Oreochromis niloticus: one gene and its partner. Each later gene encodes a partner of the first gene's protein in a complex. Links are inferred from orthologs where the notes say so. Each region holds a gene or a part of one and is shown on either strand. Other genes may lie near its edges.

Evidence for each region.
Region 2: regulator of G-protein signaling 9 (region 1) and regulator of G-protein signaling 9-binding protein share a complex: the UniProt entries of both Homo sapiens proteins name them as parts of the RGS9-1-Gbeta5 complex. The link is inferred for Oreochromis niloticus from reciprocal best matches to the Homo sapiens genes RGS9 and RGS9BP.

Annotation. Positions count from the first base shown.
Region 1 is NC_031973.2:8,865,245-8,877,982, reverse strand, and holds the start of regulator of G-protein signaling 9, read left to right. Parts: upstream 1-7,998; 5' UTR 7,999-8,157; coding exon 8,158-8,226; intron 8,227-9,778; coding exon 9,779-9,875; intron 9,876-10,678; coding exon 10,679-10,729; intron 10,730-10,874; coding exon 10,875-10,981; intron 10,982-12,315; coding exon 12,316-12,367; intron 12,368-12,442; coding exon 12,443-12,501; intron 12,502-12,578; coding exon 12,579-12,655; intron 12,656-12,738. Other genes in the region: guanine nucleotide-binding protein subunit alpha-13, read right to left, coding at 1,487-1,537, 5,563-5,789, 6,870-7,152. UniProt on the Homo sapiens protein: Inhibits signal transduction by increasing the GTPase activity of G protein alpha subunits thereby driving them into their inactive GDP-bound form. Binds to GNAT1. Involved in phototransduction; key element in the recovery phase of visual transduction.
Region 2 is NC_031965.2:26,982,463-26,994,952, reverse strand, and holds regulator of G-protein signaling 9-binding protein, read right to left. Parts: upstream 6,380-12,490; 5' UTR 5,705-6,379; coding exon 4,964-5,704; 3' UTR 2,218-4,963; downstream 1-2,217. UniProt on the Homo sapiens protein: Regulator of G protein-coupled receptor (GPCR) signaling in phototransduction. Participates in the recovery phase of visual transduction via its interaction with RGS9-1 isoform.

The DNA of each region.
Region 1 (12,738 bases):
GCAGGCTAGGTGTGTTCAGTTTAAAAAAATAACTTGACCACTTTAAACATGTCTTACTAAATAAAAAAAGACTCATACACAGGGTGAAACAAGGAGGAGAGAAACTAGCACGGCTAAAATTGACAGCACAAAGAATTGAAATGAATATTATGTTTATAAACTAAACACAAACACCCACAAATGGATGCTGTTTGTAAAATGGTGATGAAAGAAAACACAGCAACTCCATTATGAAAACAGTCATTATGAGTTTGACTATGCATTTAGGGGGGATTTCATTCATGTTAGCAGCGCCCATTCAAAATGTGCTCATTTGTAATGAGAACACTGTGGTTTGCAACTGTGTGTGCATGTATTTCTATAATAAACAAAAAAAGCCTGAGGTCAGCCACAGGAGTGAAGTTAACATACACACCCCCCTACAGAAACACACGAAACAAAACTAGCTTTTTAGCTTCATAGCATTTACAAAAGCTATGAGGATGTGTGTGCATGCAACATTATATTCATTCAAACACATATAAAGTGAAGCCGCTAAGCCTCTGTCCATTTTCTGTGATATGTATACTGATATGATGGAAGCTTGCAGTAAACATGACAATGGCATGGCATTTTTTTCTTCTCCTAGCTCTGGTTGACGTCACCAAGATGTGGCACCTCCTTAATCTTGTCATCCCAGACACACAGATCTGAGTGAGCACAGTATAAGGATTAATTTTAACTATGAATCATGCAAAGCCACTCTAGTAGAGTCTAAAAAGGTGGTGCTGGAAATGAGTAGAAAAGGCTGCACTTTATGTATCGAGTTCATACGAAAGGTGGCTGTATTGAAGAGCACAACATGAAAGACGCATCAAAAAGAATACAGCAGCCTTTGTGCTTACACCACCTGTAAGCACAACCTTGGTAATAAAAGTGTAATTAAATTTACAAAACAAACATACGCATACAAACCTCATAAAGACAGTAAGATTGTAGATGTTAGCATACGCATGTGTGTTTGTAAATAATAGTACAAGTATAAGCACTTAATGTCCTCAATGTAAAAAGGATGTGTTTATGATGCACAGAAATCTGAAAAACAATTCAACTTCCAGCATGCTGATGTTAGAAAAAAGGAAGTATTGTTAAGACTCAGTTGGGAGCGGTTAAAATATCTCTCATGTTAATAAAGGAAAAACCCTGATTTACTCTCAATAACGCCCTCAAGTTTTGGAGTTTAGACTATTAAGGGTTTATAAACTGTTTGAACTTGCTTACTGTGTTCATCTTGATGTTTTTTTTAACTAAACTTTTATACACCTGAAAAAAAATTGAGCTTAATTAAATATAAGGAGCTTCTTTCACAAAATGCCAACATTATCTGTGGCAAACAACCGCCTTAGTCATTTCTAAGCTAACCATTAATTGTCTGGACATGTTGCAGTATTAACTATAACATGCACAAGTCTGATTATCACAGAGAGTACAAGCAGAAACAACTTACCAGCTCGCCGAGCTTATCCAGATTATCCAAGAAATACTTCACTGACTCACCCTGCGACAGGACAGAGGAGGAATTTCTGTTAATTCTACACAATTAATTAGGTTCTGTCATTTTTACCACAATCAGCAGAAAACATTTTACAGCAATATGTTTGCAAGTGGAAAAGGTGCCGAGATACCAGTGGGGAGAGTGTTTAGCTACCACACAGACAGAGGTAACCTGACTTTTTTCTTTCTCCCGTGTTTGCCCCAGAACAGAGTGTGTTCTGAGGTACTGAGGCAGGATGCGCATTATTTAGTCAGACTGTGACACGTGTTTCTAAGTGTGTCTTTGATGTATACAGAAGTGTTGGTTAGTGTGTGTGTGCGTGGTTAGAAGTGTTTTATTTGAGTTTTTTCCCCAAGACCTTTTCAACACTGCTTTCATGCAGGCAGTGCAAGTCCAGACACGGGGCTGCCAGGACTGAGATGCATTCCTTTATCTGTGAGCTGGTGCAGGTCCTGCACTCGACGTAAACCAAAATACCGCGTGCAAAAAGAAAAACAGATTTAACCCATCGTCTTTCCTGTGACCTGCAGCGCCTCTACTGCAACGCACTACACTCACACAGGGGATTTTTGTTTTGTTTTTTGCATGTATTTTGCATTAATGACACAATAAGCATTTAAATGTTCCCAGTTGCAGCGACCAGGTTGTATTTCTCTCTTACCACCATGTACCAGCATTACCCACCCCAGCTTCTTCTTCTTGTCACCTTTTGATCTTTAGGGGAGGGAAAAAAAAAAAAAAAAACTAACCTGACCTGAAAAACCTGTGATTGTGTGTGCATGTCTGTGTGTGTATGTGCATGGCTAGGATTACCCAAGGGAGGAGCCCAATGGTGTGGCGCTCTACTAGAGTTAAATGAAGAAAAAGCTACTTTTCTGATTTCATATCTGACTCCGCCCGAGTAAAAGGAGCTCATAACTAAGAAGGGTTTGGTTGGTTTTGAAATAATCAAAAATCGAGTCAGATTTTTTGTCCCGTTCTTTTTTTTTTTTTTTTAAAAAGGAGAAGAGAAACAAGAAGCGCAATCACTCTGCGTTCTCCCTGCTGAGGCATGACAACGCCTGCAGAAGCAAAACTGAAACTCAGCAATATGTCATCTGAACCGACACTTACATTAAAGGAAGATGTGACTAAATAATTCTAATACTATGAATCTCAGATGAAAAGATTAAGACTATTGTAAAGAGTAACACTGACGTCTGCACTGCAGGAAGTGAGAGAAGCCATGTGCATACTCACAGCGTTACGTGTGTGTGTGTGTGTGTGTGTGCTTTTTTAAACATGATAATTACAACCAAGCCTGAAGGCACGTGCGATTTGTGATGCAAATGCTTAAATGGAGCACGGTCAACACGAGGGGATTCTGGGTAATCCGCTGGAAATGAAACAAATCTCTTCTCAGAGAAGGAAAGAAATTTTAACGGCTCCCAACAGAATTACTTTTGCCCTCAGGGTTTACAGTGTACTCACCATTAAAACTTAATATTAAAGTTTTGTACACTGTGTAAGCTTGCAATTGATATCCAGTTTCATTTCAAGCATCTAACAATATTAAGTTTATTTTAATATAAGAGAAAAGGCAAAAAAAAAAAAAAAAACATCCCTACTGCTTTTCAAAATGTGTGGTTGGTTTCATAAAAGATGGATATTTGACAAAAACTACACTGTTTTGTACATACATTGATTTTAATACATATACAGAGACTTTTTTGATCCTAAAATAATGCTTTTTTAAAATTAAAGTCAAATATTGTTTCACTTTGTACCCTAGAGCACTTAATTAATTGTCACATATGACTTAAAAATGTCATTTTTTTATAAACTAACTGTCTTGGCTGTACAGTAATATGTAATTGTGTGTGTGTGTGTGTGTGTGTGTGTGTGTGTGTGTGTGTGTGAGAGAGAGAGTGTGTAGCCCTGTGTCTGTGTTCCATTGACCCTCCACTGATATTACACAACAAATAAAGGCTCAAAGCTATTTCTGATCAATTGTTTAGTCTATAAAATGTCACCTCATTTTCCAGAGTGGGACGAAGTGACAGGTGACCTACTATTTGCTTTGTTCAACCAATCGGCCAAAATTCAAAGAGCTTTAATCTGTAAACATATGCACACGTGAAATAAGGATGGGACAATATATTTTGTATGGCTTCCATCTGCGGTATCAATATCTTTATCAACACATGTAGGCGATTTCACCCGGATTCCCTCGCCAGTTTCAGTTGCCGCAGTGCTTATGACCTGTGTTAAGCAAGTTCACACAGACTCACTGCCATATCTATATGCACTTACATAGCTAGTCACCCCCACAGGGGTCCATTATAAGCCACATAAAGCTCTGAAGTGAACTGCTAATGATGATACACATATCCCACCACCACAGTGGAGAATATAAATGTATGATTCCTGCTTTTTCGTGGGCGTTTTTACTTGTTTCGTTTTCACAGATATTGTGATGTATCGCAGATGATCGCCTCGCAGCACACTTAGGCTACAGTGATTCTGTGATACCAACACCTAGCGTCCAGTAACTGAACAGCTAGTTAGGCTTTTAGCGATCCTGCCGCTCTTCAGTTACAGGCTGTTTCCATAGCAGGCTGCTTACATTGTTCCGTTTACTACTGTCACCGAATGAGTCACAATTGTGTGTTTATATGAATGATCAGTCCAAGTGACAGCTCACTTCCATTATTAAATGCACAGCTCCAGCTTCAAAAGTCTAAAAGGTGCAATGTTTTCCGTGATAATTAATGCTTTTGAAGATTTCGGGGGTGGGCGGGTGGAAAAAAGGAACTTGCCAACTTGCAAAATGAATACATGAATAAAATACTTACACTCTTACACAGATAGGTTATGCACGTTAGTGTGTGTGTGACCTTGTGTAACGCGAGGTGTGCGACACTCTTAGTGTTTGTGTGCAAATAACCCTGAGTGGGAGAGCCAGGGATCTGTTTGTAAGCATAAAGCTGTTTAACTACAGATCAACATTCCTGCTCTGATCACACTTATTCCCCTTGTCTGTCTGGAAAGGTTTGCACCAACAAGCTGAGTGTGTGTGTGCCAGAGCAACAAAACGCCATTGAGAAAAGTTTGGTTTTATCCAACCCACAGGCAAATTGTAATTTTCTGCTTTTCATTACTGAAAGCCACTCGGAGACGCGCAGCCCTTATTCTGTCTTCAGTTGGGGGGCCCCTTAACTGCTGAAGTGTTTAAGTTTGTCACATGAAGGCAGGGCAATCAGGGTTATTCCTGTATAGAGAACATTTTGGCAAGAGCCACAGGAAAATCACCAGCCTTGTGATAAACACACTGTTTTCTTAATTGGGGATTATTTACTTGGATAAAATTGACGCATTTTTTTTTCTTTTGCTTACTAATTGCCAGAATACACAGATTTCTGTCAAATCAGGTAAAACAATCAGTGCCTTAACTGTAAAGCCACACTCATGGGAAAAAGAGGCTTATTTTGAGTCAGGAAAATCCCTGACAGCTGGTCATTTTTAAAAAGAAGCCTAAAGTTACGGTAATAAAAGATAAAATAAGAGCATATCAACAGCCCAGAAAGGACATGTGAACGCACTCCCGACCACATCTGCTATTCTGGGGTAAACGTCACAGAGTTAAGACGTGCACACTGACAGCCAAAAGATATAAGCAGCTGGGAGAGGTGTAAACAGGAAGCCTATTGAATCACATGTCTGACCACTCGGCACAGAGAGAGCACCAGAGACTAAAGAATTAGAGCCGAAGATGCAGGGAGAGAGGAAAGGGAGGATGAATTGAAAAGTCAGTTTCACTTTCTGTTTTCACTGCCATTTTCATCAATATGACTTTTTGGAAAAACCCATTCAGAAACACCAGAAAACCCTTCTTGCACCTGGTGATAGAGAGCTGAGATTGAGGACGTTTTTATCAGACAAAACTAGGCCACCATTATCTGTCAGTTATGCCATTTCAGCATATGTGTGTGTGTGTGTGTGTGTGTGTGTGTGTGTGTGTGGGTGTGTCTGTGCGTGTGCTAACCCACCAGCTGAAACTCCCTGCGCCGATCGTAGGCGTTCTGTATGCCCGAGTCTGCCCACAGGGCCTTAATGGCGGGCAGGTACTCCAGGAAAACCGATGTCTCAAGCTGCCCACTGGTCATCTTTGCCGAGCGGGTGTCGAATGCCATCAGGTTGTCGCCGTGTGGCTGGTTGTCTTCATCACCCCACGGGATGTGCAGCTTCTCGCGGGCGTCCACCAGCACACGTATACCTGGAAAAGGAAGTCAGACGGCAACTTAAAAGTGGAAGAGGGTAGTGAGAAGGGCAGGTGAAACAAAAGTAACCCAACACCTGTGTCCTTTAGAGGCCTGCTGTGTCTAAAAAAAAAATGAATAAAATACAAAAAAATGCTAGTGGGGCAAGAAAAAGTAGAGTTGATTTTAAGGTAGCACATGATTAACATAACCCTGTTACTACACAGATTTCAGGGTTTTTCCTGCTTACACAAAATTTCCACCAAAGAGGTCTTAGCCTCCCCTCAAAGGGGGGAAAAAAAAAATCACCACCTTGTGCTAACCATCACTACCAATTTTTCTTTAACTGAGCTTTCATTCAGTCAAGAATAAAGCACATTTTTCCTGATGTAATGATCAGAAATAACAAGAAAATTCAAAACCTTCGATAAAGTATGACCAATCAAGCTTCAAAACCACATTATAAGCCGGGGAAATTCCTGTATTCACAGTTATTATTTACATTTATTTCAAACTGACTGTTTATTCATTAAAAAAAAATGTACAGGATGTGCTGGTCACACCAACACCTTACTTTGAAAATGGCCGAAATAACTGTCGGGTTATACACAATTTTGTGACTATTAAAAAGCGACGGTTGAGCCTTGTTGGTATTTACAGACGATTTTGTTTAACGTGGACTACACCAACGTAAAGATTTCTCTTTCATTCAGTCCGTGGACAAAGAGGAACACCTTACAGCACATTACACTGGCGGGTTGCCCTCCATTAGCTTCATCCCGAGCTTAGTTATTGAGCAACAAAACTTGCCTGTAGCTGATTTAAAACAGCGGGTAGTGTTGGTTAAAGATATCACAAAAACTTGATTCGCTGTATTTAGTATAGCTATGCTGAAATAACCCCCTAAAAAACATTTAAGCTTTCAGGACAAACGAGGCTCCTATGGGTGTGCCGAGAGCAGATGTAGACTGTTTATGTGTCCTCTCACCCAGCCCAGCGCTGCTAAACAGATGTGGAAACTTTCCAGTACCTTTTAACCGAGTAAAAAGGGCGATTTTCACGCCCTTAAAGTTACCAGCCCTCGGTAGCGAGGTTACCTTTGATAACATTGCTGTAAATCGTTGCTCTGAACTCCTCTCGGGCGTGCTGGTCGAAGTCCTGGCCGTGGATGATCCGCATTTGTTTGAGGAAAGTCGACTTGCCGCTCTCGCCAGCGCCGAGGAGCAGGATCTTCACCAGCCGTTTTACATACGTTTTCTCCTTGGAGAGACATCTGTCGATCTCTTTGGACTTTCTCAGCTGTTCCACCTCGCCGCTGTTAAGCAGGCAGACGGGTAGACAAACTTTTAACACGGACCTGGTCGGCAGGAAATCCGCCATGTTCGCACAAACTTCATCGATGCTAATTTGATGCGCGTTCTCGGGCGCAGGCACGGGACCAAGCCCCTTCCCTAAACTCAGGAAGTACCGCTGCTGACTGTTTACCATCAATCTTAAGGCACAGCCTACTGTGCTATTTACGCGGATATGCCTCACATAAACACGCAATATTGTCCGTAGCTACGTTTGAATTGAAACACACAGAAATAACTTTATAAGCAGCATAATGAAAATTACACGCGAATACATTTTAAAGTTCTAGAGGTCCAATTGCCTGATACACTATAAAAAGAATTAATAGGCGTTAACGGCTATAATTAAAGTAAAAAAATAAAATAAAAACAGTTTTCATAATTAACATTAAAATAAATATGAAGGAAAAAAGGAGATTTGACCGGTGGTGGCATGTCGCCCTCTACTGGTGCAGTATAAAAACACGTTGAAAAAAGACGCGCTCCGATTGGTTGATTCGTTTCACACTTTTAGACATGCTGCTTTCAGAGACTGCAGGAAATATTGCTATCTGCACTTGAACGCTCTGCTGCAGATCAATAAAATTTGAAATCTTGACGGAAAAAACCTTGGTTTTGTGAAAGTGGATGTATTTGACCTTCTGTCTGTGCTTTTATGGCATTGATGACATAAAGAGCACTAAATTATTGCCTATATTTAACTAAAACGGCTTCACATTGCAATTACTTAAACCTATTTTAGACAATTCTCTGTCACTCTTATTGGAGCTGTCAACTTTTTATTACATGCCTGAAGTGCCATACGGGTAATTTAATCCTAATTCAATTTAAAAATGATAAATTAATAGCACATTAACAGTTTCCGTTTTTCCAAGTAAGAGGTTTAGGGGGGAACATTTGAAGGCAACATCACCATCGATCAGTATTGCACTTCCCCTCAAGCATCCCCACACGACACACAGGGCTCTCACAGGCGGCAGCAGTGTTGTATGTGTGTGTGTGTGAGAGAGAGAGGTGCAAAGCATCAGACAACATGACCATCCGAAACGTTCTCCGGGATCATGGACAGAGGTACCGACCACGGATGGCTTGTCTCAAAAAGGTGGGCTACACAGCTTACATTAGATGATGTAAACCAGAGCACAGGCTTATAGATTATACCTGCAGCAGACGCATCATTAGTGACTTGTATAAATTCTCTAACGCAATGCTTGGACTGTAGTGGTCTGCAGGAACCTCACAAACCCAGGCTGTTGTTGGCATTTGCACTATAATAATCTATAATATTCTCTGGAAATCCCAATGCTTTCATTGTATAGATTTATTAAGGATGGTCATTCCGTTAAGCATTAAAACCCACAGGTATCATTTGGACTACACCAAGCTTTAGGGAAACCCAATAGCAAACATGCATTTCTTTAATAATATGGACTTTAGTTATTAAGGGTTATTAGAGATGTTATTCATATACTCATGTTTCAGAATGATGTCAACATACTGTAAATCAGATGTCATGTCAGCTTCCCCCTTACACTCTATATAGCTGTCAGACTGTGTTCTGTTTCAACCTTTTCACTGTGATAAGGTCGTTCTGTTTAATAAGCATTAGGCCTGGATCAGTATCAATACCTCCATCTACACCAGCCAGCTGCTGGAAAGAAGTTAATCCAGGCGCTGTGTGAATTGTGTGTGTGTGTGTGTGAGGCCAGCCAGAGCAGTCCTTCATTCATCATCTCATATTTAAAATTCAGTTGGATGGTCACCAAAGAGAATGTTTTAGCATTAGAAAAAAATAATAAATGGAAGGAAATAATCAAGACATGAGCTTCCAGATATAGTGCTCACACAGTGTCCCCCTCTCTCCAGGGGAATGCACACAGAATCCATTTTCTGGAGAACTTTGTGTTTTGGTCAATGAAAGCCCACTTTGGTCCAGCTCAGTCTGGGGCTTATAGCCTCTCCAGGTTGACTTCAAAGCACAAAGCCACTTCAAAAAGAGCCAGGAGTCAGCTACAAACACACTCTCGCTCTCTTTCTCTCTCACACATACACACACATACACATACACATAAAGTGAATTAATGTACTACAGGATTTCTTCCTCTTCCGTACACACCTAAGTTGTGGGGGAGCTCTGGGATCAGATGGTATGATAGCTGAAAAACTGTTTAGAGGGCAGTGAGTCATCGCAAACCTCCCACACAAGCCAAACAAAAGCCATGAGATCAAGGCTTGAAACAATCCCGTCATCTCGCTTCTCACCACTTTCTAATGCAGCATTAAAACTGTAATCCAGTCATTGGACTAAAAAGCTGAACAGTTGTTTGGAGAGTCACAGTAACCGAATCATTCGGCATTCGTCTGATAGGAAGTATTAATTACAAGCTTACACAGCGAGCCATAACATCCCAGGGGGGAAATTTGCCCTTTTTTAATCAGTGAGACGCAGTTTAATGCAGCTTTCTCTCCCTTTCATTAAGTAGAAAAGAGGTTAACGGTGATGCTGTGCATGCTCGAGATTACACTAATGATCATCATCACCGTCATGTGAATTTCACTGATCAAAATTTAGGATTTACAATCAAATCTGCTGCCCCAGAAACCTACACTGTGAGCTCTGATGTGATACCTCCTCACGGGCTTTTTTTGTGCAGGCGGAGAAGGTGGTCCTCGAGATGCAGGACCCCGCAACGGGAGTGAAGCTACAGCCTCAGAGACTGGTTATCACCACAATACCACATGCTATTACTGGTAAAGTGGACACACACTCTCACATACACTACAGTGGCTTGATTATTATCCAGCGGCTCGTTGAGTGACTGTACCTGCACAACCTCGCCGGAGGATACCACGGCGTTGGGCTCAAACTCAGAGCTACAGATTTCATCTCCATGACAACCCCATGGTCTCAGAGACAGAGAGAGGGAAAAAGTAGGAGGTGAAGGAGGAGGATGATGATTGAGCAGGCGAGAGGAAACAAACATGTAGAGACCGAAGCAAGAGAAATGCAGGCAGTAGGTGGTGGAGGAGAAGAGAGGGAACCCAGACTTCTACGTCACCCGCAAGCTTTGAATGCCCGCAGCTGAATGAATGAAAACATACCAAAGGCTTCTTCTCTGCTGCTCTCTCCACTTCCCTCTCACTTTCTTTGCTGTTTTGTTTTCTCTCCATCTCTGATTCCTTTGCTTTTCCTGTTTCCTTTTCCTTCCCCTTTCTCCCTTTCTTTCATCTCACAAGCTTTCCTTTCCTTTCCTTTCCTTTCCTTTCCTTTCCTTTCCTTTCCTTTCCTAGCTTCTTTCTTCCTCTTGTTTCTTTCCTTTGCCTTTCTGTCATTTTCTCTCTTCTTCACTTGTCATCCTTCTCCTCCTCCTCCCTTTTCTCCTTCCATGTCTCTCTTTCACATTAGCTGTCTGGCATTTACAGGCATGCACTGATGGACATAAACAACATACAGTATATTTAAAGTTGTTTGCTGTTCAAGCTGCCCTTTTGACTAGTGTTGTTTATTTCCATAGATCCTTTGTTACTTCTGACCTTGAGTCCTTTTTCCTCAGGTGAAGACATAGTTGCGTGGTTAGCAGACAGATTCCAAATCGATGCACAAGGTGAGAGATCAGGCAGCTGATGCCATCCCAGTTCAAAGTGTGTGCTTTCATAAAAATAAGACAGTTTTAGGATGTTATCATGTTAGCTGACAGTGAAAATTAGTGATAGAACCTCATTTATAGCAAATCTGTCTTTTTTATTCAGAGGCGAGGAGTTTTGGCTCCATGCTGGTGGCGTTAGGATACATCTACCCTATACAAGACCACAAGCGTTTAGTAGTCAAACCAGATGCATCCCTGTATCGCTTCCAGGTAAACACACCACATTTTAAAGCTTAGCCAAAATCTCAGCTGCAGCAAAGCCAAACGATCTTCCAAAACAATATTTCTGGCTATGGGAAGATTTAGTTTTCATTGCTGCACACTGAACAGTGTTTTTGCATGTTGTTAACATGCAAAAGGGATGCACATACTCATGCAGAAACACTAATGTGGCATAGTGTGCAGTCCTGTTCCTGCTATCTAGTGACTCCACAACTCATGCACAAATGCGATGTAAACTGAAGTGCTTGCAAAGGTCATTTAAGTGTGACTGTTGTTTATTTATAAGAAAACAGAAAAGGACAGAGCAGTTGCTAATTTATTAGGTGCAAAGCCTAAAAGATTGTGATAAAAACACATCAGTACATCAAATTCATTTGATGTGAAGGTTAGAAAGTTGCTGTGTCTCTTAGCCTGAGCACATAGCATCTTCTAAGAATAATTATGTTGGTATATCATGTAAGTTCAAAATAAAAATGCAGAGCCATGGAAGGTTAAAAAAAGAAAAGGCTGATTGAGCCTTGTGGAGTAAAATCATGCACTTTCTGGAAGTTTTTCCATTTTTCATTTTTATGCAGAAATGTAAAAATGTGAGAAACCTTTCTTTTTAAAAATGTGTAAAAATTAAATGGAAAATTCCTTCAGTTTAAAACAGTGCTGCATTTTTTTATACTTTTTTGTTCTTTAACAAAAATTGACAGAAAGGCCCTACACTAAAATAAAAACAAACATCTTTGTAAAAACATTCACCATTTTTAAAATAAAGGAATTTTCCATATTACTTTTTACGGATGTTTTTCACTATGTATTGCATTTTTTCAATACATAGAAATGCCCATACACTTTGGCAAAAATTAGAATTTACTGTCAGAAAATTATCGGGATATTTTTAGTGTTTTGAGAGATATTTTTTACAGTGTAATATACATATTTAATTTTGCACTCACTTGTTATTTTTAATATATTAGCTGATTCATTTTATCAACATTATTGACCATGGTAATTTCCCACTGGTAAATTGGTTCCAGAAAGCGGCATGTGCCAGATCTTCTGTAATGGGTTTAGCATCACTGCTGTAACATGTAATGATTAGATTATAAAAGAGTTTACCATTACAAGACACAAAAACCACTAAAGCGAGGTAAAACCAATTTCCGTCCTATTTATTTTATGATGTGAAACCCCAAATTAGTCTGGCTTTAGTTTCCTGAATGACTGCAAATTGAAAACAACCAACAAAAAACACCCTCAAATCTGCAAGAAATGAATCCCACTCACAAAAACGCTTACTGCTAATCATCACCTCTGCCCTCCGTTGTTTGCAGACACCATATTTCTGGCCCACACAGCAGTGGCCTGTTGAGGATACAGATTATGGTGAGTGTATCTGAATGCATCCTGTTACCAAGAATCACTTACCGTTAACACCCATCTATGTTTTTGTTACGGAAGCAATCTACCTGGCAAAAAGAAACATACGTAAGAAAGGAATCCTGGAGCTGCACGAGCAGGTGAGAATTGGACATGAATCCCACGGCAATTAATTTTCTCTGTTGGCATTTACTGAGGTGTTGTTTTATGTCCTCAGGAGCAGTACAACCGTCTTCACAAGTGGATGAATCATAAATGGGATTTTATAGTGATGCAAGCTAAAGAACAGTATAGGTGGGTGTGCAGGAAGCTCAGTGATGTCGGGAAGCGTTAAGGGTAACAATGTGTCATGACTCTCTGTGTTTGGGTGGGGTTTT
Region 2 (12,490 bases), on another chromosome or scaffold:
CTTCAGGACAAATTGAAGCCTTGTGAGAAATACTTTGTGTAAATGCCATGCAGGGCCATGCAGGATGTTTGCCAATATAAATGAATTTATTATTGAGCATATTTAATCATTATTCATATTAACTTTTCAATAACGCTGTTTTAACCCGCCTTTTTGTGCTATATCTTATGATTATTTGTGATGGGCATAAGTAATGAGCCAAATGGTTTGTCCTATTAAATTTGAGGCTCTCAATTCAGTTCAATCATCACAGTATAACACAATGTCAGTTAACTTTCAGGCATATTGTAGGGAACATAGAGACATAGACTGCTTTAAATCAATTTCATTAATTTTGGTGCAAATCAAAGTGATAACACATGCATTGGAGGGGCAATAACAAAAAAAGGTGGTGGCCACAGATGAGTGCTTCCTCTCCTTTGCTGTGATTTTTCAGTAGTGTCCTTGTCAATACTGGTAGTATGAAACAGTACCTAAAGTACATTCAGGTTGCACAGGTAGTCCAGCTCCTCCAGGATGGCATACCTGTTTATACTGTCTAAAAGAATTCCCTGTATCTCACAACTATCAACGTCAAAAGTGTGGAAGAGCATCAATCCAGCAGCAGGATTGGTATCTGCTTCTTTATATGAGAAAGAAACAGGAGAAACACTACCAGAGCTCTGGAAGTGTTTCTTCTGTTCTTTCAAATAGACTTCAAAAGGGCTAATCATGCATGTTTCTTATCAAACAGCCAGACACAGGCTCCATGAGGGTGGTGTGAGGTAGTTTGTTAAACCATCTGAGAAAACAGTTCCTATTAACCAGGATTTGAAGTAAAAGTCTGGATATGATTTGTCATGTCCGAAATGAAATCCAAGACATGACAACTTTTGTTTTTTGTGGAACATGAGCATCCAAAGATTTAAAAAAAATTCTTTTTAGCTTTCAGCTTTCACTTAACTGTCATAACAGCAAGCTTTGTACAGATACAAAATTAATTTGAGATAAAAGAGGCCATTGGTTGAACTCACCCCCAGAGTTCCAGTACATTATGCACCAGTCACCATTTTAGAAAAGGTGCAATTCAGAAGTGCACCTTCACTAATTCAACCTCAAAATTTAAAATGTAAATAAAGTATATTACCACTTTATTCATAATGTTCTTTCTTCTGTAGTAAGTTGAAAAAAAATATCTATGGCTCCCGAAAAGGTTGCCGGTTCGATCCCCCTGCTCTCTCTGTCCTGGTCGTTGTGTCCTTGGGCAAGACACTTTACCCTACCGCCTACTGGTGTTGGCCAGAGGGGCCGATGGCACGATATGGCTCAGCGTACCCATAGCCTCGTCTCTCACATCTCTCCAGTACAGTATTTTAAGACAGGATTTTTTTTTCCGTAACTGTTTTTGGTATCAGCTCTCAAAAACACAAAGTGCACTTTAAATGTGACAGACCACTGTCTGCTGGACTGCTGAGACGACCAGAACAAGTGGGAAGAGTCTGAACCAGCACAAGAGATAGATCTAAATATGCTGTCATAATGTCGCCTGTGTTCATCAGAAAAAGTACTTTAATGTCACTCTGATCTGACTGAAACATTTCTCCCAGAAAAAAAATGAAGAGACACACTGTAGCGAGTCAGCAGCCCTCAGTCTGTTTTTTATCTTTCTGACATATTTTACCTGTCAGCTTGATAAAAGATGCAGAACTTCTGTCCCCTTTTGCCCTCCCCTGTCCTCACATCTCATCTCTTTCTGCTTCAGAGTGCCGTGTGTGTAGGATGGTGGTGGCAGAAAGCGGGTGAGTTGAAATAACGCTGCTCAACCTTCTGTGCTGTTTGCAGAGTATGTTAAGGGTTTCTATGGCAACTCACAACCTTGGAAACCCACCATCTAAGTCCAGATGAAGTGATGATGCAGTGGTCTGTGTCTGCCAAGTGTGTAGCTCACCTCTTTGTGAACCAGTCTGCTTAGTGTGCTTGTATCCAAGCGAGCGAATGAAGCAAATACATGGTTTTGTTGTGCATAAGTTAAAATAAAATACCTCCAAACAGATGTTGAGAAACCTGATTTACTCACCTGTAAAGGTGAGTGATGGAGCACTCTAAATATTTGATGCTGTGGCTATTTTCAGGAACATCTTGCATAACCGAAATTTTTAAAAAGCAATTTAAAAGTGAAACAGTCTCTGAGTTGCATGTTGCATAAATACTCGTCTTCCTCTGGAAGAGAGTGGAACTAATTTTAAAGGGCAGCGTTTGAGGATGCTTCATCTCATTCTCTACTTAAATCTCCTCCCTCTCATCCTCATGTTTAATTAATCGCTTTTATATTTTTAGATTTCCGGATGACAATGTAAGTCTGTCATGAGTTTCGAGAGATTCAAGGTCCATGACTCACTGTTAGAAGAGCATAGTGCCTCTGTGAAATGACAGCAACGATAAACAAGATGTCAGAAAGCCTACTGTGAATCAGATGTGAGTAGAGCATGCCACTGATTTTCACACATCAAAGTCTTACCAAAGAATGCTTTCAGCTTTTTTGCTAGAAGATGAATTATCTTGCATTTTATCTACTTTGTTTACTTTGTTATACTATTTTCTTTTAATGTTTCTCCACAGGATTTCTGTATTGAGAGGTGGAGAAGAGAGAGAGATTCATTTCCTGGAAACAGGAAATGAATCTGAATCTGAAACTTGAATACCTTTACAAGGTTTTACATATCCTTAATAGTGAAGAAGCTGATCATTAGGGTCCTATCAGGGCTCATGTGATGTGCAGCTTTTCATGTGCCAGCATTTAAACAGACTTTTCATTAAAATTTGCATCAAACTGTGTAAATATTTATCTTGAATTATTATTTTTAGTTAAATTGGCTCTTTTGTCAATCTAAATGGACCCACTGCTGATTTGACTGATGACCAGAGTCGTTACTTTCATGACTGTTTGTTGTTTCGCTCATCAAATGAATGAGAGTTTAGTGAACATAAGTTAACCAACTTGCAATGAAGATGAGGAAACTCACAGGATGAACACGGTGGTCTGTTGGGGAAAGAAAATTAGACACCTACTTACATGAATTGGCTTGTTTTTTAAATGAATAATAATGATAACACACACACACTCTGACACAAAAATGCAATGTGTTTGTGCATAAATCTGGTTTTCTATTTCACTTACACAGACATTATGGCTATGTAAGAAATGGAGTCGTGTGATACCATCTTCCATATTTTAGCCTGGAAGTATCAAACTACAAGTTACTGTGATTTTCAACCCAAATTATGACAAAGTTTCAATGACCATTGTTATTTTTAGACCAACATTTTTCATCATTTAAAATTTTACCCACATGTACCTTTCTGAAAATATCTACATGCATGCTTATACCAACAAATTTGCTATCTTTGTTTTTAAGTGTACTTTTGTCTTTTCGACTTTTTACATTTTTTGTCAAACCTTCTGTGGAGTTTAAAAGTGGAAGATGCTTTCAATCCTTGCATAATATTATTTTATGAATTTTAGGATGGTTTGATAAGCATTAGATGCATTATCTCTCTATATGTTAAGGTTGTTGTTTGTAGCCTAATGTACCAATGTATGTGACTTGAAAATATTTCTGGAGCAGCACTTGTTTCTGTTCTGCAAATTAATAACTAACTTGAATTCATATTTATGTTGGGCTAAAGAAGACTGTCTTAGTGTGCATCTACCCTTAACTAACAACCACTTGCATGGAAACTTTGACTCTGACTGCTTCCAGTTCAACTGGATGCCAATCCAGGAATACCCTTAAAGGCTCTTAGATGTAAAACTATTAGGGAGTTAAAGCATAGTCTCCTTTCCATTTAAATTAAGTACTATTTTAAACCTAAGGTGGTTAAGTCTAAGATAATTCCCCTCTTAAAATATCTCTATGTGTGTTAGATGTATAGATCTCTAGCTTAGCTTTGCAGTGATTACAAACTAGGCCTGGTTATGAGTTACCAGGTACACAACTTACCAAACCTTCACACAAAGGGACCTTACAAGCATGCCTGGTCATTGTTTGTAAAACACCTATCAAACTACAAGCATATTTTCAAGTGTGTTTCGAAGTTTTATTATAATAAATATACTTGATCGTATGTACATTATCTGAAACAGCAGTATATACAAACCTTCTATTCATGTTGCAATGTACATTCAACACTGTGCAAGAGAACCCTGAAAAGGAACATGAGCAGGCTTACAGTGAATGGGTGCGTTATTAAAAGACAGTGAACATCTCTTCGGTCCCAAGGCTCTCATCAAGCACATTGTGATTTGATGCAGTAAAGTAAGATGCAGGCCTATTACAATCTGGCTATACAGATTATTATGACGCATTTAAACGGTGCTGACAGGAGTGTAGAAGAGTGCAGATTTGATAACATCCAACCAGTGTGGTTTGAGGAGCAGAGATTAACTGTGCTGGCTTCCACTATAGTTTCAATAAGACAACCGTTCTTTAGATGTTTTTCCTGTTTGTTTGAGCAGATCTAACTTTTCTGAATGCAAAGCATCAATCCACAGAACATCATGAGAATAGTTAACCGTAGGCTACATTTCTGCTTGAGCTTTTCCACTAATCCACTTGGATTACGTGTTGTTTATATCATCCTGATGGCTAGACTCTGTCACGTAATTTTATGACCTTTTTCCCCACCCTCTTCCAAAAATAAATGGCCCACTGGCCCTCCCCCAAAAAATACTTTTTGTACCTCACTCCCATTATTTTCACACTTTGGCTATATTCTTCTAGTACATTTTAGCTTATCTAGTGCAATTTCTCACCTCCGCCAAATACATTCACAAATCCAGGAAAGCTTAATAACTTTTCCGTGTCCACATTATTTTTCAAGCCCAAAAAGACGCTCTTTCTCTTTCTTATGGGCCTGCAGAGTCTTACCGCTCCCTGGGCAGCTTCACAGGATGTCCATCAGGGTGGGCTTTTGGTTAGAAAGTTCACATATTGACAACCAAATAGCCTAGAACCAAGGCGACTATAACGATGACAAAGAATCCAATCACAGCGCAGATTGACGCAAAACCAGCCTCCCTGCTCCCTCCGCCACCTTCTTCTTCTTTGGGCTCCTCTTCGCAGATCGAGATGACACCCACGGAGGAATTCCCTACACTCATGTTGGACTTGAGCTCAGCGCCTGCCTCCTGCTTCGCCTCAACGGCCCACGGCGCCACCTGCACCTTCATCTCCATCTCTTCCATCATCTGGCTCACCTGGGTGATCTCGGCCTGCAGGTCTCTGAGGTCTGCCGTGTCGATATTGCTGTCCGCCTCGTACTTCATATTCTGCACGCTCATGGCCCGGGCCGCCACCGTAGTGGTGCTGCCGGTCATCCCTGTCTGGATGAGGTGTCTTGTGGGCACCTTGAGGGGGAAATCCTGTGCTATCTCTAAGGACCTTTTCATGTCCACCTCAAGAAGCTCCATGCAACTAGAGAACAGCACCCACAGGCGCTCGTACTCGGCCCGGTCCTCTTTGCTGATGGTCTTATCTTTGAGCAAAGAAGTCAGTTTAGTCCTGTTGGCCACCGCCAGCTCCTGGGCCTTTTTGCGGGTCTTCTTCAGCTCCTCTCGCAGGTTTTGCGAGTCCGAAGTGCTCCCAAGAGCGATGACCAAATGCCTGTAGCAGGCGGTCACTTTGTTCAAAGCGTCCAGCATTGTTTTGCATTCCTCTTTCCCCATGACTGATAAAAAAAAATCTATATCCTTCTTAGAAAATATGAAATGATTAAAAAAGAGGGCAGCTGCAAACAGCGCGCTTATTCGAGCAATGCTTTAGCCACTGACCTCGGTTTAGTTTCCACGGGAGCTCACCACCCGCTCTCCAAATCCACTCAACGCGCTGGTGAGAGAAAATTCCTCTCTATCCATGCTCCTTCCTGTGCAAGCAGATACAGAGAGTGGCTTAGAAATTAATGCGTCCGTAGCCTAAAAGGCTTTAGATTACCTTTGTGTTTTCCCACACGAGATCAAACGGCTCCGGAGCCCGTCTCCTGCAGGACGGATGCGAACGTGAAACAATCCAACCACCCTTTTATGAAATTGCGATCCCGATTCAGCCACAGGTGTCACAACATCCGCCAAACCGTTTGCGTAGAGAGCTCGGTGCCTTTTCCCTTCAGCAGCTTAAAATGTTCAAAGAAATTGCGCTGCCGGACAAGTTAGGTTCGCCATTCAGCGTCCGTGAGGAGCAAAGCGAGCCATTGTTGTTTTGGTTTGTTTTATCTGCATGAGGAGCTGTCCACTTCAGCACCCGATCGATGATTTTTAAATACCAGTAAGCGCCTTCTGTAGTCACATGTGCACGCACAACAGTGCTATTCAGCGACAGGCAGAGGCAGGCTGGGAAGCAAACAGCTTCACTCCCATTGGTTTTTTTTCACACAGGCGTTTGGTTTACATTCTTCATGCTATTGGCTGCACTGTCCGTGATGTGGGCAGAACTGCGATGTCTATCAGCAGAGAAGTCAAATCACAAACACCTTAACTCTCTGACAATACCATTGTCATCAGGGTCCCTGCTTATAGTCGGCTGCACGAGGAAAAATAAAGACTGGTCATCCCAGAGAGGAATATAAAATAAATAAATAAAAAATAAGATTGTTATTTATATCATTTTTACTTAAGTTAAACAATCTATACTTTTAGTATGAATTGTTTAAATGAATGGTTCTTTTCTTCCTCTTCATCCCAGATGGAACTATCCTCAGTCTGTTTCAGTGTTGCCTATTACTTCATCTTCACTGCTGGAGTCTAGACTAAAGAGCTTTCACTGGTACTCTCTCTCGTTCCCACAGTTCCCTTTCCATGGCCATAAAATAATCAAACTCTGATGCCCTGCAGTGTATATATATGTGGCTTGTAGACTTCCTGTGTTAATAGAGGTTATATTGCCATCAACATCAAAATGCACTGTAGTTTCAACTAAGCTGCAATAGGTAGCAGCACAGTGATAAATCTACCCTAATACATAATGTATGCCTGCCATCACTATGTTAGGAACTCTCCAACTTCTTGGTAAAGCCAATAACTAATCAGTCAATCCCATGGCAACAACTCACTGCATGTAGACATGTAGACATGGTAAGGATGACTTGCCTTAGTTCAAACTGAGCACCAGAATGAGAATAAAGGGTATTTAAGTGGTTTTAAATGTGGCATGGTTGGTTGTGTCAGATAGGTTCCACTGAATATTTCTGAAACTGCTGGTCTACTGAGATTTTCCCCACATAATCATCTCTAGGGTTTACAGAGAATGACCCAAAAAAGAGAAATTATCCAGTCAGTGACAGTTCTGTGGGTGAAAATGCATTGTTGTTGCTGAGGCCAGAGGTGAATGACCAGACTACTACGGGCTGATAGGAAGACAACGATAACTTGGTGGTAACAAATAAACACTTGTTACCACCAAAGTATGCAGAAGAGCATCTTTGATATTGAACCCCAAACAAATAGGCTACGGCAGCAGACAGAGCACACTGGGAGCTATTCATATTAGCTAAGGACAAGGAAGCAAGGTTAAAATTTGTGTGGGCTCATCAAAACAGGAAAACAGAAAACTCAAAAAACATCGTCTGGTCTGATGATTTGATTTCTGCTGCAACACTCAGAGATAGAGTCAGAATTTGGCATAAATAACACGAAAGGATGGATCCATCCTGCCTTGTATCAGTGATTCAGGCTCTTGATGGTGGTGTAATGGTGTGTGAGATATCTTTGGCACACTTTGGGCTCTTTAGTACCAGTTGAGCATTGTTTAAACGCCAACAACTTACCTGAGTATTTCTTCTGACCATGTCCATCCCTTAGTGACCACAGTGTACCTGTCATCTAATGGTTGCTTCCAGCAAGATAACAAGCCATGTCACAAAGATCAAATCAAAGTGGTTTTATTTTATTTTATTTACATATATTTTACATGACAGTGTGTTCACAGTCAGCGGACCTCGGTCCATTAAATCACCTTTGGGATGCATCATGGATGTGCAGCTGACATCTGCAACAACTGTGTGATGCTATCATGTCAATATGAACCAAAATCTCTGACACCTTAATCTGTGGAACAAAGAATCAGACAATTCTGAAGGCAAAACAGGCTTCCAACCCAGGATTAGCAACGTGTATCTGATAAAGACGAGTGTAGAGTGCAGTGTAGGGTGATACATTTGAAAAGCTGCTAAAAAAACCCACTACTGACGATGCTGCACCACCTTTTCATCAGCATATCAAAAATTTATAATTTTACAATACTAAAAATAACAGAATAAAAAATTACCATCAGTTTAACATGTATTGCACCATTGACCGTCACAGCTATGTGTAATCAGGTTCAATGAACACTGAAAGGAAACTCAAAACAAACTGATGATACCCTGATACCAAAAGATCTTTCATAAACTGACTAAACCTTCAGTCATATGTTCCTATAAAAAGATAAAACACTTTGTTTCTCCTGGTGTGTTATTCCATCTGATTTTGCAGCTAAGCTGATGTGATTACGAGACACAGGTTTGCAGAAATAGTATTCAGTTTTTCTCTCATGTGACTACTTGCTATTTTTTTCAGTTTCATAAGTGTGGTAAAAGTGGATAATTTGTGGGTTGTCACCGCAGCTGCCTGCACACTGGGAGGAGGCCTGTTGTTGCACGCAGTACTGGATGGATAATGTGTTGTTTAGTTGGCTCCTGCTGTGTTGAGAGATGAGAGGCACATAAGGCTGAGTGGTATTTGCCTGCTTTGCTCTTTTTGCATTATTCAAGCGGATGGGGCCTAATGATCCAGTGACTACAGTGCAAAGCTAATGGACTGGAGTGCAGTGAATGCCTGAGGAACTGAGTGAGAGGCTTATTGTTCGTTTCACATAAAATGACATCTGCTGTGGCATGGGAATTGATTTCTTCTGTTCAATTTATTCCTAGTTTGAAAACCATTTTTGCTCATATCACTCATTAAAAACATTATGCATACCCACGCCTCATATTTGATGGTTTATAAGGTAACTGTGGACTAACATCTGCAGATCCCCATCTTAAGATTACAATATGTGGCTCTGCTGTAAACTGCACTGTTTAATATATTTAAAGTGCTGGTAGCCATTTCAGCACTTTCTGACTAATAACAAATATCTTGGTTGAGTCAGATGATCTTGGCAAATGGATCGTCTTTCCTTTCATGAATATGTTTCCATGGCTACCTCTCACCTCTTACTACTCTTCGGTTATTTTTCTCCAAGGTATTTAATTGCTGACATTGCTCTGAGATGTCATCTTTCACTTTGTGCATTTAAAGTTACAAATCAGTTGTTTTCTGTTGTTTATTTCATGTTCTCATGAAATTGCTTAAGGAGCTAACTTTTACATAGACTAAACAAATAACTCAATTTCCATTTTCATTTCATGGGCTTTCATTAACTTATTTTGAGCTTGAATTTAAAGTGTAAAAAAATAATCAAAAATATCGGAATTCATTAAAAGATTAAAGACCATATGACTTCCCAAAAAACGTATAACTGGGCTAATGCAGACTTTATCACCTTTATAAATAACTGATGGCACGGTAAAGTAAGTCGGACTTGCAGGATTAGAAAATTGGCCATGGTCTCTGTCTGTCTACCTATCTGTCTTTCTCCTCTCCTGTAAAAAGGTTGCTGATAAGCTGCTGTGTTAGATTCAAGTGATGAGTCAGACATGCAGTGATCTGATTGCTCTCAGTGCCAACACATGATGGAAAACTCAATTTTTGATTTCCAATTTTTGTTTGCACAGGACAATAAAATGATATGGAAGCTCTCCAGATATTACTGTTGTTTTTACACAGATTATCTCTGTTTGTGTAACAAATGCAGTATCAGTAAATCATTAGATTATTTACACTGATATAGATCCCAAAGAAAAAGACACATATAGCAATTTTGTTTTGCCTGGAAGAGCTACACTGATGCACTAAGTACATACCATGATTCAGTAGCTTATAGAACTACCTTTAGCTCCAATACACTGAGTTGCTTTCTGTGTAACTTTATCTCTTGGATCGTTGTGGATGAATTTTGACACACTCTTCTTTAGAGTGTTGCTTCAGTACATTTATGCAGAGCTCTCTCAAGGTCCTGCCACAACATTTCATTCAGGTTGAAATCTAGACTTTGACTGGGCCATTACAACATCTTGATTGTTTTCCTTTTCCAGTCCCTCTGTTGTAGAGTTGATGTTTTGTTTGGGATAATTGTCGTGTTAGATGACCTAATTTTGAAACTGCTTTAGGCTGTCAGAGAGATGACCACACATTTGACTCTGTAATACTTAGGTGCACAGAGGACTTCATGGTTGACTCACTGACTGCGCCGTGCCCAGGTCTTGTGGCTGCAAAATAAGCCCAACTCTACACCACTGTGCTGACGGTTGGTATGAGGTGTTTGTGCTGACATGCTGTGTTTGGTTTTTGCCAAATGTGGCACTGTGCTTCATGGCCACAAATCTCCATTTTGGTCTCATTCTTTCAAATGATATTTGAATAGATGTATGAGTGTGTATTTGCCAGAGTATTTGGCAGGAAGGTTGTTCCAGGCTTTTTTTTAAAAAATTGCCATCTTTCCTTTTTGGATTCATGCTGCCTCCGGTGCTTCTGTCTTTTTATGTAGTCCAAATATCAATCTTTGATGTTGAGTTCAGGGTATTGTGGAGTCTTGTTCTTCTTGTGATTCTTGTGTTGCTGCACAATGAATTTAAACAGAAAAAAAAAATACCCCAAAGGTATTACACTGAATAACATTATAAACAGCTCAAAGCACAAATAATATTTGCAGTAGCTTTAAAGAGAGTCTCAACCTTGCAGCTATCTTCATGTTATATGCTTATGTTCTATACTTCAATTAAATAAGTAAAACTGGCATATTTGACATGATTTTTATCATTAAAAAGTAAATACACCAAAATGTCTTATTACAAAAGTATTTAGTCACTTACATCAGTACTGGCAGCTTTGAGTGTGGTTTTGACAGCTGGGTTTAAACAAGAAGTGCCTCTTAGTTTCTCTCTTCAGAGTTCTGCAGTGTTGTTCTACAGGCTGTAATTGCAGGCTCTGACTAGGTCAGTCAGGGACAGTATGACAGTTGTCCTGAAGTCACTCCAGTATTGTCTTGGCTACATGCCTCAGCTCATTGTGGTGCTAAAAGCTGAACCATTGCCCCAGTCTTAGGTCCAGGCTCTCTCTGTGCTGCACTGAGCCTTTGATGAGTCCCTCTGTCTCCTGCTGCTGTTGAGGCGTGGCTGTGTTCACAAATATTTGGGAAATTTGCCTCTTCTGCTTCCTCTCTGGCAGGCTCTGTAAGAAGTGTAATTTATCTTTTCTTAAACCAAATCAAGTAGCCAATACAAACTGTGAAAGGAAAAAAAACACACACATACACAACACATAACAAACTTCCATAAGGGAAAATTATTATTCCATTAGCAGAATTCACCAGAAAAAAATCTGACTAACAATATCAAAATTCTTTTCCATGGAGATTATTAGATTATAGTATATGACAGCATCAGATGCTAAATTACTCCAGTTTTAAATTTTCCCGAAATAAAATATAGTATATATGGAATGCTTAACTGAGAAATTTCATGCACCAAGAGCTAAGCATTAAAATAAGAGGCTCAAGAGGTTAAAAAGAGGAGGAATTTAAAAGGGAGGAAAACATCTTAGTATGTAAAGGAGACACAAATGGTGCTATAACATGATACAAATTCTATAATCCAGATTAGCGGTTTTCTACAGGTCCTGGGATTAGCAGTATAATGCTCACTAATGTATCTTTTAAAGAATGCTGATCTGTCTCTCTTGCATTTTCATCATATGGAATCAATGGTTTTAGGGAGGAAATGGAGGCCTCTGGTGCTCACTACACTTTGTGTGAGATGATGGTTAAAAGAGGACAGACATAAACACGGTTCCCCCCTGAGCTCTGATACTCTGACCAAACACATTAGAAGACTCTAACGTCTGTAAGCCCTTTGATAATCCCAGTAAAAAGCTCCAGCACTAACTGATATTTCCCAAATGACCAAATATGCTTTCTAGTTATGGCCCGCTTTAAGTTTGCACTAGTGCAGTCATCAATGTGACTACTTTTGTTAACATTTAAGTGACATCCTATTCTTAGTCCGTGGGGTTAACCCTTTGCAGATATAACAGTTTCAGCTCTTCTGGGAAGTCTTTCCACAAGGTTTAGGGGTGCGTTTATGAGAATTTGCATTTGTGAGGTCAGAAACTGATGTTGGACAAGGACTGGCTCCCAGTCTCCTCTCTAATTCATGCCAAAGGTGTTCTCTCGGATTGAGGGACTCTGTGCAAGCCAGTCAAGTTTTTCCACACTAAACTCACGCATCCATGTCTTTGTGGGCCTTGCTTCCTACGCTGGTGTGCAGTTCCCAGTTCCAAAACTGTTCCCAGAAAGATGTAAGTGTTAAATTGTCCAAAATG